Linked DNA regions of Cricetulus griseus. The protein of the gene in region 2 purifies or fractionates together with the protein of the main gene of each other region. This does not show direct contact. Links are inferred from orthologs where the notes say so. Each region holds a gene or a part of one and is shown on either strand. Other genes may lie near its edges.

What was found. Proteins that work in one complex are often made in the same cells at the same time.
Region 1: the proteins of Ss18 (region 2) and Dpf2 purify together in Homo sapiens (affinity purification with mass spectrometry; 4 studies listed by BioGRID and IntAct, counting the BioPlex papers as one, with this or other methods). This does not show direct contact. The link is inferred for Cricetulus griseus from reciprocal best matches to the Homo sapiens genes SS18 and DPF2.
Region 3: the proteins of Ss18 (region 2) and Smarcd2 purify together in Homo sapiens (affinity purification with mass spectrometry; 4 studies listed by BioGRID and IntAct, counting the BioPlex papers as one, with this or other methods). This does not show direct contact. The link is inferred for Cricetulus griseus from reciprocal best matches to the Homo sapiens genes SS18 and SMARCD2.
Region 4: the proteins of Ss18 (region 2) and Bcl7c purify together in Homo sapiens (affinity purification with mass spectrometry; 3 studies listed by BioGRID and IntAct, counting the BioPlex papers as one, with this or other methods). This does not show direct contact. The link is inferred for Cricetulus griseus from reciprocal best matches to the Homo sapiens genes SS18 and BCL7C.

What each region holds. Positions count from the first base shown.
Region 1 is NC_048596.1:53,441,390-53,445,492, forward strand, and holds part of Dpf2 (zinc finger protein ubi-d4), read left to right. Parts: intron 1-18; coding exon 19-156; intron 157-460; coding exon 461-589; intron 590-726; coding exon 727-839; intron 840-2,022; coding exon 2,023-2,104; intron 2,105-4,103. UniProt on the Homo sapiens protein: Plays an active role in transcriptional regulation by binding modified histones H3 and H4. Is a negative regulator of myeloid differentiation of hematopoietic progenitor cells. Might also have a role in the development and maturation of lymphoid cells.
Region 2 is NC_048595.1:221,683,803-221,688,815, forward strand, and holds the start of Ss18 (protein SSXT), read left to right. Parts: upstream 1-1,815; 5' UTR 1,816-1,904; coding exon 1,905-1,973; intron 1,974-5,013. UniProt on the Homo sapiens protein: Appears to function synergistically with RBM14 as a transcriptional coactivator. Isoform 1 and isoform 2 function in nuclear receptor coactivation. Isoform 1 and isoform 2 function in general transcriptional coactivation.
Region 3 is NC_048600.1:119,211,294-119,215,876, reverse strand, and holds part of Smarcd2 (SWI/SNF-related matrix-associated actin-dependent regulator of chromatin subfamily D member 2), read left to right. Parts: intron 1-1,342; coding exon 1,343-1,498; intron 1,499-1,898; coding exon 1,899-1,994; intron 1,995-2,126; coding exon 2,127-2,228; intron 2,229-2,497; coding exon 2,498-2,659; intron 2,660-2,817; coding exon 2,818-2,915; intron 2,916-3,043; coding exon 3,044-3,179; intron 3,180-3,332; coding exon 3,333-3,455; intron 3,456-3,584; coding exon 3,585-3,686; intron 3,687-3,768; coding exon 3,769-3,822; 3' UTR 3,823-4,583. UniProt on the Homo sapiens protein: Involved in transcriptional activation and repression of select genes by chromatin remodeling (alteration of DNA-nucleosome topology).
Region 4 is NC_048596.1:73,095,852-73,100,434, forward strand, and holds part of Bcl7c (B-cell CLL/lymphoma 7 protein family member C), read left to right. Parts: intron 1-3,360; coding exon 3,361-3,558; 3' UTR 3,559-4,583. UniProt on the Homo sapiens protein: May play an anti-apoptotic role.

The sequences.
Region 1 (4,103 bases), on a different chromosome or scaffold from region 2:
CAATCTTCTTCCACCCAGTTTGTGGAAAACGCTACAAGAATCGACCTGGCCTCAGTTACCACTATGCCCATTCCCACCTGGCTGAGGAGGAGGGAGAGGACAAAGAAGACTCTCAACCACCTACTCCTGTTTCCCAGAGGTCTGAGGAGCAGAAATGTAAGCTGAGGTGTCAGGATGAGCAAACAGGAGAGGAGCCAGCCTGGTTATAAAAACCCTCTTTGGGGAGGAGCTTGATTCTGCCCCAACTTAATGTACCAAACTATGTTGAGTCCAAATGAGAGCCCTTACCTGTTGGGGGTGGGGAGTGGGCTGGGAGGGGAGGCGAGGGGAGCAGGAGGAGGGAGGGGAGGAAGAACTTTGGTTGGAATGTAAAATGAAATTTAAAAAAATACTTAAAATAAAAGTCCTCCTTGTAGGGAATGTGGGGCATCATCAAAATTCCTTTCTTTTTTTCCTGTAGCCAAGAAAGGACCTGATGGATTAGCCCTGCCCAACAACTACTGTGACTTCTGCCTGGGAGACTCAAAAATCAACAAGAAGACAGGGCAGCCTGAGGAGCTAGTGTCCTGTTCTGACTGTGGCCGCTCAGGTACTTCCATTCTCAAAGAGCAGGCTGCACTCAGTGCCCAGGACACTCTTGGCCTGGTTACTTCAGTGCTGTCAGGCAGCCTCCCATCCCCATTCCCCACGGGTTTCCAGCCCCCGTTTGACTCGCCTCCCCCACAGGGCACCCGTCCTGCCTGCAGTTCACCCCCGTGATGATGGCGGCTGTGAAGACCTACCGCTGGCAGTGCATCGAGTGCAAGTGCTGCAACCTCTGCGGCACTTCGGAGAATGACGTGCGTGCGCCCTCTCAGCCTGCCTGGCTCTCCCCTCAGCTCCCCCAAAGCAAGCTTTCTGTCAGCACAAGCAAGGGCCTCCCTCCTTCCACGCCCCTCCTTAGCCTCCCCTGGGGAACTTTACACTTGTTTAAAAAAATCTGTTTCTTGAGCACCAGCAGTCGGTGTTTTTGGCTCTCAGGTCACTAAGTAAGACAGAGAAGACCATGCTTTCATCAAATTTGTGTACTTGGGTAACAGAGTTTTGTATGATATACCTTGATGAGCCAAAGAGTTAACTGGTCTACAAAGCAAGTTCCAAGACAGGCTCCAAAGCTACACAGTGAGACCCTGTCTCAAAAAACAAACAAAAAAAAAGAGTTAACTTGATACTGATAGAGGTTTCTAGTTAGATTTGCTTTTGGAGGAAATGAAGTTGGTGTTGGAGTTTTGATAACACAAAGAGCCAGTCCAAAAAGGTACAAAATGAGTGTATTTCCAAAGAGGTATAGCCAGTGCAGAGACCTTGAGATTGGCAAGCCCGCTGTAACAAGGCCATTGCTACCCACTAGATCTTTCATGTGGGGGAAGGTGAATCGGAGAGGTGGATGTTGTTTGATCTATGGGTCTTGAGTCCTTTTGTGAGCAGTGAGGAATCCTGGAGATTGACCCCAGGACCTGGTGAACACTAGGCATGAGCTTTGCTGCTAAGCTCCACCCCTGTGCTTGGACCTTGGGGATGTTGACAGAGGCCATTTATTTGGGGGTGGTTGTTGTGTGATATGTTCTGTCTCATATTTTCAGAAGGTAACTGGCAGCTTTGTAGAGAAGAGATTGTAGGGAAATAGTAGGCTTTGTGATCAGTTAGAATCTGGATAGGTTGAGATGGGCAGGTCTTACTTCTTTATTTTAATTACTTAACTTCATGTGCATTGTTGTTTTGCCTGCATGTATGTCTGTGTAAGGGTATCAGGTCTCATGGAACTGGAGTTACAGACAGTTGTGAGCTGCCATGTGGGTGCTGGGAATTAAACCCAGGGCCTCTGGAAGAACAGTCAGTGTTCTTCACTGCTGTGCCATCTTTCCAGCCCCTCTACATCTCTTCTTAGCAGCTACTAGTCCCTCATAAAAGTAGCAGCAGTGTCACAACTTGGGTACATAAGCCTTTGGATCCTTGTTCTTTCTTTCTCCTTACCTTCTGCAGGACCAGCTGCTCTTCTGTGATGACTGTGACCGTGGCTACCACATGTACTGTCTCACCCCATCCATGTCGGAGCCTCCTGAAGGTAAGTGGCCCACCCAAAATACTTTATCCCAGAAGGATCCATAACACCCAAGTAAAACATGACTTGTTATAGGTCTTAATTGTGTGGTTTCAGCATTTTTTGATTTCTTAAGACAGGGTTTCTCTGTATAACAGCCCTGACTGCCCTGAAACTCACTTTGTAGACCAGGTTGACCTTGAACTCACAGAGATCCGCCTGTATCTGCCTCCCAAGTGCTGGGATCAAAGGCATGCATCACCACTGCCTGGCCCAGAATTTTTTTTTCTTTAAAGACTTTATTATGTATACAACATTCTGCTTCCATGTACATCTGCACACCAGAAGAAGGCACCAGATCTTATAATGGATGGTTGTGAGCCACCATGTGGTTGCTGGGAATTGAACTCAGGACCTCTGGAAGAGCAGTCAGTGCTCTTAACCGCTGAGCCATCTCTCCAGCCCCCAGAATTTTAATTTAAAGAACTTAATGTTTGCAAGCTGTCTTCCTTTGTATAGTCCAGAAATTCAGTTGGAGCTTATCTAACATGATATTTCTTTTGTCGCTCTCCTACTCTGATGGATTGTTTCTTTCCTCTCTTCCCCATTCGGGAGGGAGTTGACCCTGGAGCTTGGGGTATTTTTTTGCATCTCTTGTGGTTCACTTAGTAATGCTCCAAGTTCATGGAAGTGCTACACCAACACCAATGGTGACATCAAGGAGTGGTTCTTTTCCACAAGTCCCTTCCAACTGTGTTTCTGTGCCTAGCTCCTTCCTCTAAGGTAGTAGTTCTCAGCCTGTGGGTCTCAATCCCCATAGGGATCACATATTGGATATCCTGCATATCGGATATTTATGTTACAGTTCGCCAAGCGATGATGGCACACGCCTTTAATTCCAGTACTCGGGAGGCAGAGGCAGGTGGATCTCTGTGAGTTTGAGACCAGCCTGGTCTACAAGAGCTAGTTCCAGGACAGCCTCCAAATCACAGAGAAACCTGTCTCGGAAAAAAAGAAAAGACAACAGATATTTATGTTACAATTCATAATAGTAGCAAAATTAACAGTTATGAAGTAGCAATGGAATTTTATGTTTGGGGGATCACTACAACATGAGGAGCTGTATTAAAGGGTCTCAGCATTAGGAAGGTTGTGAACCACTGCAAGAGACTCAAAGCTTGTCCAGGAGGGCCTAAGTACCTAGTAGCTCTGCTGTGCACAGACAGGAGCCAGCCTTCAAGTGGGAGTAGTTTACTGTTTCCAGAAGCTGACTGGTAATGTAGGTCAGACTGCAGAAAATGAGGCCACTAGCAAAACTGGTGAGTACTTTAACAATTGCAGGACCACACAGTGCTACTGAATGCCACATCCATCTCCAAATCAGCTTGAAGAAAGTAGTCCTTGTGTTTTGTTTAATGACCAAATAGCACCTTATAGACAGAACTTGCATTGATGGCCCAAGGGCTTTCCCATTGATATTTTGTGAGACACTGGGTAGTGGAGAGTTGCAGGCCAAGTATTTCCTCACTGGAACATCAGGAGGTCGTCTTCTTTAGGTCATGGTTGGCATGGCATGCCTTATGGGCCATATCTAGCTGTGTCAGTTTACATAGCTTGCAAATCAACAGTGACTTTTACATTTAAATCATGGTTTTTTTTGTTTTGTTTTGTCTTGGTTTTTTGTCTTGTTTGTTTGTTTTGATTTGGTTTTGTTTGGTTTGGTTTCGTTTGGTTTTGCAAGACAGAGTTTCTCTGTATTTTATAGTCTGTCCTGGAACTGATGTGTAGACAGGTTGGCCTCAAACTCACAGGAACATGAAGATAGGAGACTATGTGGTTCATAAGCTTAAATTTATAAATATAAATATATAACGTTCTGCTTGGCTCTTTGTTGGAACACTTGCCAACCCTAGCATATTGGCCTTAGGATTAGAAAGACTCTTTTATTCTTTTATACTTTTGGATTATCTTACTGTTTTGTTTTGCTTCTTGCCGGGTGGTGGTGGCGCGTGCCTTTAGTCCC
Region 2 (5,013 bases):
CCTTCAGTGGTATTCTCAGTTCCTTGTGATTGCATGAATCCACTTGTATCACAGTGCTTTCCTTAGCATAGTGAAAGGCAATAAGTTAATTCCCAAGAATAGTTACCATCATTTGGGAGGGAGAAGGTTCCACCCTTTATTCTTAGAATGGCACAAGTCTTCATTTTGTGTGTGTGTGTGTGTGTGTGTGTGTGTGTGTGTGTGTGTGTGTGTGTGTGTGTGTGTGATGTTTTACACGCACAGGGTGTGTGTTGGGGGAACACACATGAAGGTCTGAATAAAACTTGCTGGAGTTGCTTCTCTCCTTCCACCACAGTTTGTACTCAGCATGCTAGGCCTGGCCACAAGCACCTTTAGCTGCTGAGCCATCTTGAAATCCTAATCTTTTGCTCTTTAGATTTCTTCTCTTTCTCTCTCTCTCTCTCTCTCTCTCTCTCTATATTATATATAATATATTATATATATATATAATATATATATATATATATTCCTCCCTCCCTCCCTTTCCAAAATGGAGTTCTCTGAGGAGCTTTTTTTTTTTTTTTAATTTACTTAACTTTTATTTTGTGTGCATTGAATTGGTGTCAATGCCCTGGAACTGGAGTTAGTTGTGTACTTGGAATTGAACCCTGGTCCTCTGCAAGAGCAGCCAGTGCTCTTAACAGCTAAGCTATCTCTCCAGCCCTTTCTGTAGATCTCTTTAAATAAAACCGGGTTTCCACCTTCAATCACACCAACAGCCCTGTAGTTCTGTCCTTGTTTGCTAATTGTTAAACGTTACACACACACACACACACTTTGTTTCTGTTGTCTTTTCTATAACAGAGTAATATCCTTGAGAGATTCCTGTCCAGTTGTTCATTTCTACCACCAGCACTTCCAAACAGCAGGATTGGTACTCAGAATCGTTGGATGAATTAAACTCACCTGCGAAAATTTGAAATAGCCTTTAAAAATGCGTTTTCCCATTTTATTAACAATTTAGGCACTATTTTTGGAGCATCACTGAGTAATAACACAGCATATTAACCTTCCTTTTGTGTGATTGGGAAGTCTAAGTTTGAAGAATTAATCCGTAGCAACGGGTTCCTGTATTAATTTGCAGCTGTTGGTTTTATTTCCCTCATACTGACTTGAAGCCTGGCAGCTTGGGCCTAATTAACAAGCACTAAGTATTTCACTGGAAAAGAGGTTGCCTTTTCACAGCTTCCTTTGAAGGGCCCTAAGTCAGATCAAGTGGATCCACAAGTGTGGGAAGGGACTATCCCTAGGTAAGCTGAGGGTCGGGTTCCTTTCAACTGTTCGGCGAGACTTGGCGAGCTACTCCGAGGTGCGCACGTGGAGCGCAGGGAGCCATTTAAACCAGCGAATCCGCGTTCTCGGTGCTGAGCCGGCAGACGCTTCTGGGTCCCAGTTGTCCCTTTTCCCTCTCGGCGGCAGCCCGGGAGACCCAGGACGGCCGCTCTTCCCCAGAGGGTCGCGGGCGCAGTTGGGGACAGTTTGGCGGGCGGGCCCCGCGTTTCCTGTGACAGCGCGGCCGGGCGGCTCCCTCCCGCCGCGGCGGGACCATTTCCTGAGCGTCCGGGCGGAGGCGGTCGGCGCGGCGCTACCATCAGAGCGCGGATGCGGGGGTGCAGCCCGACAGCGTGCGAGGACAGACAGCCGAGCGGGGGGCGACCGGGCGCGGGGCTCCAGCCGTCCTGGCAGCGAGTAACTTTCCAGACGCCTGGCTGGGAGCGGCAGCTCCGCGCACAGCCCGACGGTGTCGGCGATGGTCGCGGGCCCGGAGCGTCCTCCCCCACCGCGCGCGGTGAGGTGGACCTGCCCGGGAGGCGGGCGCCGAGCCCCCAGCTCCGTGGCCCCCGGAGCGCTCCGGACTAGCCGATCGCGGGCTCGGTGGCAACATGTCCGTGGCGTTCGCAGCCCCGAGGCAGCGGGGCAAGGGGGAGATCACGCCCGCCGCCATCCAGAAGGTGAGCTCGGAGAGGCGCCCGAGCGCGGGCCGAGGCGGGGGAGCGGCCCGGCGGTGGTGGGGGCGGGCGCCGGGAAGCCAGCGGAGCCCTTTGGCGCCTGCTCTGCCCGCACAAAAGCGCCGGCAACCGCCGCCCGGTTTCCCCGCGGGCCGGGTGGCCTCGCGCCGCGGGGTGCGTGCGTGCGCTCGGCGGGGCCGGGAGGGGAGCGGCCCGCGAGACTCCCGCGTCGCCCCGCCCCGCCGGGACCCCGCTCGCGGAAGCGGGAGCCCGGAGTGTTGCGCCGCAAACTCCTCGGAGTTGAGGCCCTCCCGGGAGAACTTGGGAACCTTCCGCAGAGGCTCGGGTCAGGCGGGGAAGGACCCAGTGGGCACGGGGATTCGCAGAGCAGCACCCGCGATCCGTCTCCCTCTGCTCCTCGTAGATGCGTCTGAGCGCGCAGGGCAGGCGCTGTGGTTCGGGAGGGCGAACCTGCTCCCCGCCGCCCCGAGTTGGCCGTCTAAGGCCGTCTACACCGACGGGCGGGCCGTTTGCATTGAGTCAGGGTAGAAGCGCTGGGAGCTGCGTCCTTAGAGGAGAGTGCCACCCCAGTCGCCGCCCTGGGACTGCCAACTGGGGACACAAAGGTTCTTTATTATCCCCCGAGCCTGAGTCTAAGAGCAAGGCACTGTTCTCGTTCTCAGCTTGGTAGACTTTGAAAAGTCGCTTGTTAAGTTTAACAGTTTGCCTGGAGTATTTCCATCTTGTTCCCTGCCCCGGAGCAAGGTTTAGGAGAGAAAGTCAACTCGTAGTACCAATCAGGACACCCTTGAAAACTTGTGGGTTAATGGCCACTGGGTTCTGTTTACTGTCAGGGTCTTGGTAGTGTGGCGTTTGACATTTGCCCAACTGTTGCTTTATTTTCTTTGAAGAAACCCTCCTGGCAGTGCCTGGAAACGCAGTTGTTTTCTCTAGTGGTAGCCTGCTGAACAGTCTCCTTACACACGTGCAGGAAGTGTTTCTGTAGAGATTGGCGCTTTCTTTTTGAACTCTAGAAAGTGTCGTTTTCTTTTTTCTCGGTAGAGTTTTTCCTTATGTGTCTTATTAGGTATTTATCGCGAGTGGTCTAGAAGGTGCTAACTTGTTATTTTTCATTCTCAGATGAGAAGTGAAAAAATGGACTAAAACTTTAGTGTGTGTGTGTGTGTGTGTGTGTGTGTGTGTGTGTGTGTGTGTGTGTGATGTGCATCAGATTGTTTGGAACCGGAGTTAACAGCCAGTTTTGAGTCGCATTGTGGGTACTGGGAACCAAACTTCAGCAAGAGTATTTAGTGCTCTTGTCCTCCCTCTGGGCCATCTCTCCAGTTCTCAAAACTGTATTTCAGCTTAAGTTTTGTTTGCAGTGTCAGACATTGGTATTAGATGGGAGACAGACAGATGGTTGGGGTGGTTTAATGTGTCATGCTTTCCTTGGTTTGAGTATTGAACTGATGGCACTCAGGAGGCAGAGGCTGATGGATCTCTGGATTTGAGGCCAGCCAGGTCTACTTAATGAGTTCCAGGACAGCCAGAGAAACCCTGTCTCAAAAAGAAAAAAAAATATTCTTGGTATCTAGTGATCATATTTATGAAGCACACCTTAGAGAAGTGTTTGCCCTTAGTAATGGAAGATTATGATAAATGTGCAGGAAATATCAATTAATAGCAATTGATCTTTGTTTTTAACTGTAAATCACATTGAATGATTGAGATGGTGGTTTTGGTGTTGTCGTCTGATTATTCATGAAATCATGAAAGGTGGGTTCAGGATCAGCAGTACCCTGATCTTAAAGCTCCTACAAACTTAGGTGGCGTGCTAGAGACAGCATGCTGGCACTAAAACAGTCTTCTGTGGGTTTCTTTGTTAGGCACCATTGGTAGAGGTGAATTATTTAACCCTCAGAGCCACGGTTGCTTAGATTATTACCATGATAAGATGATAATTTATGTATCTTATAGGTTTTGTTTTGTTTCGTTTTTTTTTGAGACAGGGTTTCTCTGTGTAACAGAGCTAGTTGTCCTTGAATACCTCTGTAGATCAGGCTGGTCTGGAACTCACAGAGATCGGCCTGCCTCTGCCTCTGCTTCTGCCTCTGCCTCTGCCTTCTGACCACTGGGATTAAAGGCATGTACTACCACTGCCTAGTGTATCTTATGTTTTTTAGACTTTCTGAGATACCTTATTTTATATTATAAACTCAAATTCTATTAAATATAATAAATGTATAGAGAACACTGTTATGTGTTGTTTTGGAGAATCACAAATTATACAGTTAGAAAAGAAGTTACTTCAAGTCCCTAGGCAGCTGTATTGATGTGTGTATTTCAGTCTGGGTAAGGACAGATTTTTTTCCCTTCATCCTACAAAGCATTAGAATGCTCCAGAACCAATTGGGACTCAACTTTCAGCTAGTGGAAATTGTAGTTACAGATAGCATAGGTAATTAAATGTTTTTGTATTCAAAAACAAAAACATGGGCCTGGAGGATGGCTCATTGTGGTTCAAGGAGAGAACCAATGCCACAGAGTTGTCCTCTGATCTCACATGCACCTGGTGGGCACTCAGGGGTGTGTGTGTGTGTGTGTGAGAGAGAGAGAGAGAGAGAGAGAGAGAGAGAGAGAGAGAGAGAGAGAGAGAGAGAGAGAGAGAGAGAGAGAGGAGAGAGAGGAGAGAGAGAGAGAGAGGGAGGGAGAGAGAGAGAGAGAGAGAGAGAGAGAGAGAGAGAGAGAGAGAGAGAGAGAGAATGAACACACACTAATGCTAAAAAAAAAATAAGTGAAAAGGAAAAGGGACAATAAGTTTCCCTTCTGGGTTTCAAGAAGAAGAGTAATTGAAATAGGTATTAAACATAACTGATTAAATGTGATACCATTTCAAATATACAAAGTAAAGGATTTTTTGTGTCTCAAGTTATAATCTGTGTATTAACAGAAGACCCCAGTAGGTTCCATTTCCATGTAGATGTGACATTTCTAGAAAAATCCAAATTACAAAAAATCAGTTGTTGTAGAATTATCTATATGA
Region 3 (4,583 bases), on a different chromosome or scaffold from region 2:
GCCTCCCCAGACTGCCCTCCCTGACGGGCGGCCCTGCTCGGGGGTGCTAGGGCAGGGCTCCCTGACGGTACACGCCTCCCCAGACTGCCCTCCCTCCCTGACGGGCGGCCTTGCTCGGGGGTGAGCAGGGCTCCCTGACGGTACACGCCTCCCCAGACTGCCCTCCCTCCCTGACGGGCGGCCTTGCTCGGGGGTGCTAGGGCAGGGCTCCCTGACGGTACACGCCTCCCCAGACTGCCCTCCCTCCCTGACGGGCGGCCTTGCTCGGGGGTGAGCAGGGCTCCCTGACGGTACACGCCTCCCCAGACTGCCCTCCCTGCCTGACGGGCGGCCTTGCTCAGGGGTGAGCAGGGCTCCCTGACGGTACACGCCTCCCCAGACTGCCCTCCCTGACAGGCGGCCTTGCTCGGGGGTGCTAGGGCAGGGCTCCCTGACGGTACACGCTTCCCCAGACTGCCCTCCCTGACGGGCGGTCTTGCTCGGGGGTGAGCAGGGCTCCCTGACGGTACACGCCTCCCCAGACTGCCCTCCCTGACGGGCGGCCTTGCTCGGGGGTGAGCAGGGCTCCCTGACGGTACACGCTTCCCCAGACTGCCCTCCCTGACGGGCGGCCTTGCTCGGGGGTGCTAGGGCAGGGCTCTCTGCCTAGGCTAGGGCAGGGCTCCTCACGGCAGGGAGAGCACCAAGCGGTCCTCCCTTGTGATCACAAGCCTTTACCATCGTGCCCAGCCTACTGTGTCCCAAACATAGCCTACTAGCACTAGTGAAGCACGCACTGCAGCAGCAAGAGCACTGTATGAGAACTGTTTCGCCTGCGCATGTAGGCACGCGCGTCTACCTATGTCTATACGTATGTGGCTCCTATGACCCAGAAGGTAAATCTCACAGCTTATGGTCAGAAATTTGAGAGCTGCCAGAGAGTAGACTGAGTAGTTACCTTTTCACACCCCATCCCTAAAGAAGCTTTCTTTTCTTTCCTTCTCTGTTAATTATCTAGAGCAGTCCCCTGAATGGTAGAGACTTTCTAGGAGACTAAGGTATTGAAGGACTATAGTGGGTGTTTAAATGGGGGTGGGGGGTTTAGAACCTACAACCTCATATATGTTAACCTCATATATTGCTATATCATTAAGCCATGCCCTTAGCTCCAGAGGCTTCTGATTTGCCTAGTATCATGTTGTATATAGCTGTGGTATTGGCCTCGTCAGTAATCAACCAGTGCAGCCCCTCCTTCCCCCAAGGGGGCCAGCACTACTACTACCAGCGGGTTATTACTTCTAAGAAGATATGGTAGGGCTTCCAACACGTCTGTCATCTCAAGCCCATTGCTCTTCCTCTTCAGCAAAAGCGAAAACTTCGGATCTATATTTCCAATACATTCAGCCCCAGCAAGACAGACGGCGATAACGCAGGAACTGCAGGAACCCCTGGGGGAACTCCAGCAGCAGACAAGGTGGCTTCCTGGGAGCTTCGAGTGGAAGGCAAACTTCTGGATGATGTGAGTTGGAGAAAGAGGTATTGGGAGGGGAGGGGTGTATAAATTTAGACTGTGGACAGACATGAGCACTCAGTCCTAGGATAGGGAAAGGGTGAGGTTAGAATTGGTGGTGGGGGGGTTGTTTCTATGCTGGGGATCAAACCCTGGACCTCACACACATTAGGCAAGTGCTCCGTGAGAGACTGAGGATGGGCATCTGGAGTTATTACAACGCTCCTATGGATGGCAGTCGAGTCTTGGATTCCCTCACTCACTTGGGTCAATGGAGAGGAGCCCTTTTCCTGCCCTTTGACAAACTTTGCTACTTCAGGGCCCAAGACTGTGCCTTGAGCTCCAGGACTGAATCGCTGCTCCAATGAATTCAGCAGCACACCCATCTTACAGCTCTTTCCATTCCCAGCCTAGCAAACAGAAGAGGAAGTTTTCATCTTTCTTTAAGAGCCTTGTCATTGAGCTGGACAAGGAGCTGTATGGGCCTGACAACCACCTGGTGGAGGTGAGAATGGTCCTAGAGCCTGGGAGGGACAAGCTGCCAGGGGATACAGAGCGTAAACTCGGGTACCAGTGTGCTGATTGAGTGCTGTACCTATCCGTTAGGGATAAACTCTGCTCCCCTTTTCTCCGACAGTGGCATCGGATGCCCACCACCCAAGAAACAGATGGCTTCCAGGTCAAACGACCAGGAGATCTCAATGTCAAGTGCACCCTCCTGCTCATGCTGGATCACCAGGTGACAGATGCCCAGGGTCATGTGGGGCCATGCGGATTCATGCAGGGAAGGGGAGCAGATGCCTGTAACTCAGTGTTACCTAAGACCATCGGAAAACAGATACTTCCATTAGAACTCGTAACAGTAGCAAAGTTATAGTGTGAAGTAGCAACGAAAAGGAACTGTATTAAATAGAGTTCCAGCTTTAGGAAGTTTGAGAGCCACTGCTCTGACTCCTTCCTGTTCTGTCTCTGCACAAGAGCCTTTCTTTACTCCTCTGTCCATTCCAGCCGCCTCAGTATAAACTGGACCCCCGGCTGGCACGGTTGCTGGGAGTGCACACACAGACGAGGGCTGCCATCATGCAGGCGCTGTGGCTTTACATCAAACACAACCAGCTGCAGGACGGGCATGAGCGGGAGTACATCAATTGCAATCGCTACTTCCGCCAGGTCAGCTGGTACTACCTTCTTGTTCCCTCAGCCCCTGGCTCATCTGCTTTGGAAGCCTAGTGGGCAAGTACTCAGTCTTTTGACTGCGTCTGTTGGCCCTGGAGAAGTCTATTCCCCGGTTCCCTCAGGCATCAGCATGCCTTGGATGCTCTTTCTAGATCTTCAGTTGTGGCCGACTCCGTTTCTCTGAGATTCCCATGAAGCTGGCTGGATTGTTGCAGCATCCAGACCCCATTGTTATCAATCATGTCATTAGGTAAACAGGAAAAGGAATGGGATGGCTCTTTGGAAACAGGACTCACCGCAGAACTTTACTCATAGAGCAGGCTTGGTGGTTGGGATGTGCACAGCCATGTTTCTGCTTCCTTCCTTTGCTGCCTGCAGTGTGGACCCGAATGACCAGAAGAAGACAGCCTGCTATGACATTGATGTGGAGGTGGATGACCCACTGAAGGCCCAGATGAGCAACTTTCTGGCCTCTACCACCAACCAGCAGGAGATTGCCTCTCTTGATGTCAAGGTGAGTCCTTTGTCTCCACAGCAACTGAAGCCAGAGTGAGGGTCAGCGGCTCTTGTCATTTCCACACAGCACATTTAGGATAGGACCTCTGGACCTAGATATAAGAAGAGACTCCCAGACTGGAGCACTCATGACACTTGCACCCTTCTCCAGATCCACGAGACTATTGAGTCCATCAACCAGCTGAAGACCCAGAGGGATTTCATGCTTAGCTTTAGCACTGACCCCCAGGACTTCATTCAGGAATGGCTCCGTTCCCAACGCCGAGACCTCAAGGTATAGTCAGTCCTCTTGTTTTGAAGGTGGTCTCACTGGGTGACTTTTACCCCAAGTACTATTCCAGTCCCAGAGCAGACTGGCTCAGAGGTGGGAATTATGCCACACCTTACCCCTTGCCCTTTACAGATCATCACGGATGTGATTGGGAACCCTGAGGAGGAGAGACGAGCTGCTTTCTACCACCAGCCCTGGGCTCAGGAAGCAGTTGGGAGGCACATCTTTGCCAAGGTGAGGCTCTGCCAGTTTTTTTTTTTTTTTTGCCTCCTTTTCTTGAGAAGCTGAAGCCTGAGCCATGCTTTCTCTTCTCCAGGTGCAGCAGCGAAGGCAGGAACTGGAACAGGTGCTGGGAATTCGCCTGACCTAACTGCTCAGGGATTGCTTCCTTCCTTCCCAGCCCCGGAACCTGGCGGGAGACCATCCTCTTGGTTTTGGCTGGGGCTGCAGACCTCCATGTAGGATGGAGTGAGGTGTGTCTCCTATCACCCTCTACTCCCCAGCTAGTTTCATAAATGTAGTGTTAGGATTCCTTATTGCTTGGTCCCCAAAGCCTTATTACTTACCTTTTAGCATTGGCTTTAATCGGGCTCTAAGGTGCCGCCTCAGCCCCCTGCAGGCAGGCCCACGGACTGCTGGAGGTTGTGCTTTAATTTCGTAACAGACATTTCTGAACCAAAGGCTGCTGGGTTTGCATGTTTACAGGCTCCACCCTAGGGCCAGTGTCAGCTGGTTTTGGGGAGCTGGGCAAGGAAGAGGAGGCCCAGCCTGGACTCTTCCTGGCCTTTCTCAACCAAAGTTCTTTGCCATTCCTACAAGCCCAGCCTTGCTGCTGGTTTGTCCTTTTCTTTGGGTATTTGCACTATTTAGGGAGCAGGTTTTTCTATGTGGGAGTCACTTTTTTGTACAGAGGTAACTGGGGTTTTTCAGGGAGCCCTACTTGGTGCCTCCTTCCTTATTTTCTTTTTTTGATCTATGCAAGCGGCTGCAGCCGCCATCATCTCCTGGGATGCCATGGGGCTGCCCACCCCCAGCTGCTTGGGTGGGGGGAGGTGGAGTCTCCCAGAGGGAGGGAATGTACCAGTTCTCTAACCCAGCTGGAGAAGAAGAAGGCTGGGAGGACTGTTGTTA
Region 4 (4,583 bases), on a different chromosome or scaffold from region 2:
CTCTTGACCAGCTATGTGTCTCTGCACTAACCATTACCTACTACTATAAAAAGAAACTTCTATGAACAAAGTTAAGAGCAAGAGAGCAACAGAAACATATATAGGTATAAACATAAATATTTACAACGTGGTTTGTATGATATAACCAGAAGTCCACTTAACGAATCATCCCCAGAGCCTATGATCTCCCAAGTAGTGGGCTTTTGACCAGTATGAAACCCGTTTTGTAGAGCAGGCCTAACATCCAATCAGAAAGTGCCTAGTTAGCGCTGGAGCCATGGCGTCAGTGGGCACACACTGCTAGGCAGGTTGGTATTGTAGGGTTCGGGCCTGGTGTTTACCCCTCAGCAGCCTGCACAGCGCCTTTTGGCCAATGTAAGCTGGGCAGCAGGGAGAGGACCCTCTGCTCCTCAGTGTTACCTGACGTAGAAATTTGATGCCAGGATTTAAAATGGGACTTGAATTACATATTCCAAATTCCTTCATGGTGGCTCCTAGATAGTGGCTTTGTCTCCTCAGGGGACAGAAGTCTTTGGGTAGGGGAACATCTTCAGAATGCTGCTTCCAACATGAAGGCATCTCTCCTGCCCCACACCTTGAGAGACCTCTCTGCTGAGGACACCTTAGGTACAGGCAGGCACCAAAGAAGAAAATATGGAGGAAAACCCAGCACAGAACAGAGAGAAAGTCTGTTGTGTCTCTAGAGACCTTAGCCAGCTCCTCAGTTGGTGTGCCCGGATCTACAATGTTTTGTTATTTTGAAACAGGGTCTCACTCTGTGGTCTTGACTGGTCCAGAACCACCGGTGCTGAGATTAAAGGTGTGTGTTACCACGCCTAGCGTATTTTGTATGATTTTTTTTCAAAAAGATTTATCTATGTGTATTAATGTTTTGTCTGAATATATAACGTGTGCACCATGTTCATGCCTGATGCACACAGACACCAGAAAAGCAGATGTGCTGCTGGAACTGGAGTTACAGACTGCTGTGAGCTGCCATGTGGGTGCAGTTGAACCCCAGGTCCTCTGCAGAGCAACAAGTGCTCTAAACTCCCTATTTTGTATGTTTTTTAAAAATGTTTTGTGAGACTGGAGAGTTGACTCAGTGGCTAAGAGTCCTGCTCTACAAGAAAAAAAGCCTATAATCCAGGTCTAAGGAATCCTACCCCTCCTCTGGTCTCCACAGGCACTAACACATACACGGCACACACACACACACACACACACACACACACACACACACACACACACACAAATACACACGAAAACTATTTTACAAGCTTTAGAAACTGGGCGTGGTTTAATTCTAGAAGGCAGAAGCAAGATCTATGAGTTTCAGACTAGCCTTTTGTTTTGTTTTGTTTTTTGTTTTTCAAGACAGGGTTTCTCTGTGGCTTTGGAGCCTGTCCTGGAACTAGCTCTTGTAGACCAGGCTGGTCTCGAACTCACAGAGATCCGCCTGCCTCTGCTTCTCAAGTGCTGGGATTAAAGGCGTGTGCCACCACCACCCGGCAGGCTAGCCATTTTGTAACTAGGGGTGGTAGTATGTGCTCCTCATTCCAGCACTTGAGAGATGGAGGCCAGAGGATCAGGAGTTCAAGGCCATCCTTAGCTACATGGTAAATTATGGTCAGACTGAAATATATGAGGCCCTATCTTAAAAGTTTTTTCAAACACACAAAATAGATATAGCAGATGGAACACTGTGAACTTAACACTGGACTTTACTACTAAGTGATTCATAGCCACTAAATATTATCTCTTCTCATCATTATTATTATAATTTGAAAAGATTTTTTTAATTTATAATTTTTTTTGAGTCAGGGTCTCTATGTAGCTCTGGCTGTTCTATAGCTCACTATTGTAGATGAGGCTGGTCTCAAACTCACAGAGATCCTCTTGTCTCTGCCTCCTGAGTGCTGAGATCAAAGGCATGCACCACCACAAGGATTTTTGTTGTTTTTCCAGACAGGGTTTCTCTGTGGCTTTGGAGCCTATCCTGGCACTCGCTCTGTAGACCAGGCTGGCCTCGAACTCACAGAGATCCTCCCGCCTCTGCCTCCCGAGTGCTGGGATTAAAGGTGTGCGCCACCACGGCCCAGCTATGACTGTTCTTTTAGGATTTGGATCTCAGTAATCTTTTTAAAAGCTTCCCAAGTTGTTACAGCTTGGACAGTGACATCATTTAATGAACACCTTTATCTTTGAGTCACCGCACCAGACATCCTTGAACTGCTTCTGCTTGCTGGTGTCAGAAGACGCTGCAGACACATCGTTGTGTTTCCTGTCTCAAAGAACTGAAACAACCCTCTAAAGATGCCTGCAGACTTAGGATAGATACTGTCTGTCTATCCTAAGTGTTGTAGAGGGCCAAGAACAGGGCATCCAGTGCTGCCAATGGAGAACATTTTAAGGCCTTCCTGAAGATCTGTGGACTCACCTTCCACACCGTTGCCACCCCTATTCCCTCCGTCTCAGCTGAGCAAGCTGAGACTGCACAAATGTATGCAGCTGCCCAGGTTTCAGCTAAGGGGGTGCGGGACTAAGTCAAGCCCACCAAGAGTGTCTGATCCCAGAGACAGCTCCTTTAGTCTCTAACCAGGTTATGCTTCAGCTTCTGTCTTCTGTCAGGTGCAGAACTTAGGGTTAGTGGGTAGGATGATTGCCTGACAAGTTTGATGGATCACATAAATGACTTGGACAAGCATGTTTGTCCCCAAGATGGTTGAGCCTGTTAAGGTGCCTGCCACCAAAACTGAGTCTGCGTTTGATCCCTGGGTCCATGTGGTGGGAGGAGACAACCATTATTTCACACATGTGCCTCTACTCCCTTCCATGCACATGAAACAAATAAATGTAATTTTTTGTTATTGTGTTTTGCTTTATTTTTTGAGACAGGGTCTCTCAGTGTAGCCCTAGCTGTTCTGGAACTCACTGTCCAGATCAGACTGGCCTTGAACTCACAGAGATCTATTTGCCTCTACCTTCCAAGTAATGGGATTGCAGGTTTGCACAACCACACCTGGCTCTTCTTCTTCTTCTTTTTTTAAGCCAGATTGGTAGTACAAATTTGTAATATCAGTGCTGAGAAGGTGGAGACAGGTAGAACTATGGGTCTTACTGATCAGCCAGTCTGTGAGATCCAGGTTCAGCAAGAGATCCTGTTTCAAAGAATAAGATGTAGGGTGATTGAGGAGGACACCCAATCTGTACACACACAAAGAAACCTGTACACACACGCAGAACCTAGCTCTTTGCAATATTATCCCACAGTCTCTCTGTTAGGACTCCTATCATCCTCCTGACTTTGTGTGGGGTAAGGAGAAGAGCAACTACCCATATTTTCTTTTCTTGTTGCAGGATTCTGGAGTGAGAATGACAAGGAGAGCCCTCCAAGAGAAAGCCTTGAAAACAGAGCCCCTCAGGAGGCTTCTTCCCAGGAGAGGCCTCCGGACGAATGCTCGGTCTACTTCCACGGTGCCAGACACCAGAGCTCTGGGAGGTGGGAACAAGGCCCAGAGGGCACCCAGGACGATACCACAAGGGAAGGGGAGGTGAGCGGGCCCCTCCCACTAGGTGAGGCCCTTAGGTCTTCTTTAGTGACCCAAGATTCAGTCACCTACTTGCACCAGTTAAGGGTAGAGAGAGCTTTGGAGCTGGATGCCTGCTGTGTGGACTTCGAGGTAGGCAATCAGCCCTCCACTTGGCCCTAACCCTAAATCATGGATCCATCTTGCTTGCTGTGGGTCCAAAACTTTGGAGCTTGGGGCAGGTCACAGACAAGGAGTGTCTGAGGACGCTGCTAGATGATGCCCAGAAACAACCTGAATATACAAAAGAGTAGACGCAGGGCCAACTCGGCCACCTTTTCATGCACCAGGGCAGCCATCCACCAAAGGGCCAGGCATGGCCCCCAGGGTGGCTCCTTCAGCCTCTGGAACCATGGAATCTACTCTGGTGAGCAGCAAGCAGTGTCTGAAGCATTGGGCAACAGGTGCTAGGTGCTACCTTGCGGAGTCTGCGAAAGGTGTCAAAATTCATGCTTGTGTAGAGATACCACTCCAACAAGCACCTGGCAGATTCCTCTCCCTCCACGGGCCTTTGAACGTTAGGCCTGCCAAATAATCTGTGGCTCAAGAAAGCATACGCCAACCTTGCCTGTCAATCGAGAGGCACACATGGTCTAGTGACCTTTTGGACCAGGCCAACACCTCCTGCTGTAGGACCCAAGTCCAGAAATGGATGGAGACTTGTGGTCCAGCTCTGAGCCTGCCAAATCTACCTGGAAACTACCCATTTTGAGGAACCCATGGCAAAGGAGCCATTTGTGTGATTCCAAGGGCTTTCATCAACCTCTTGCTCCTGACTTAACAACGTATTGGGCCCACTGTGCCAGGAAATAATGTCTCCCACTTAATGAGGGCTTACTCTACTACATATTGCAATTTGTGGGAATTATTTAATACAATATTCTAGTGTCATAGATCCTGTTACTTTTACATTTTACAGATAGGGAAACTAAATAGCCCAGATGTTTACGAGCTTGCCCTAAGTCACACACCCTGCCTGTGGCAGAACCAGCA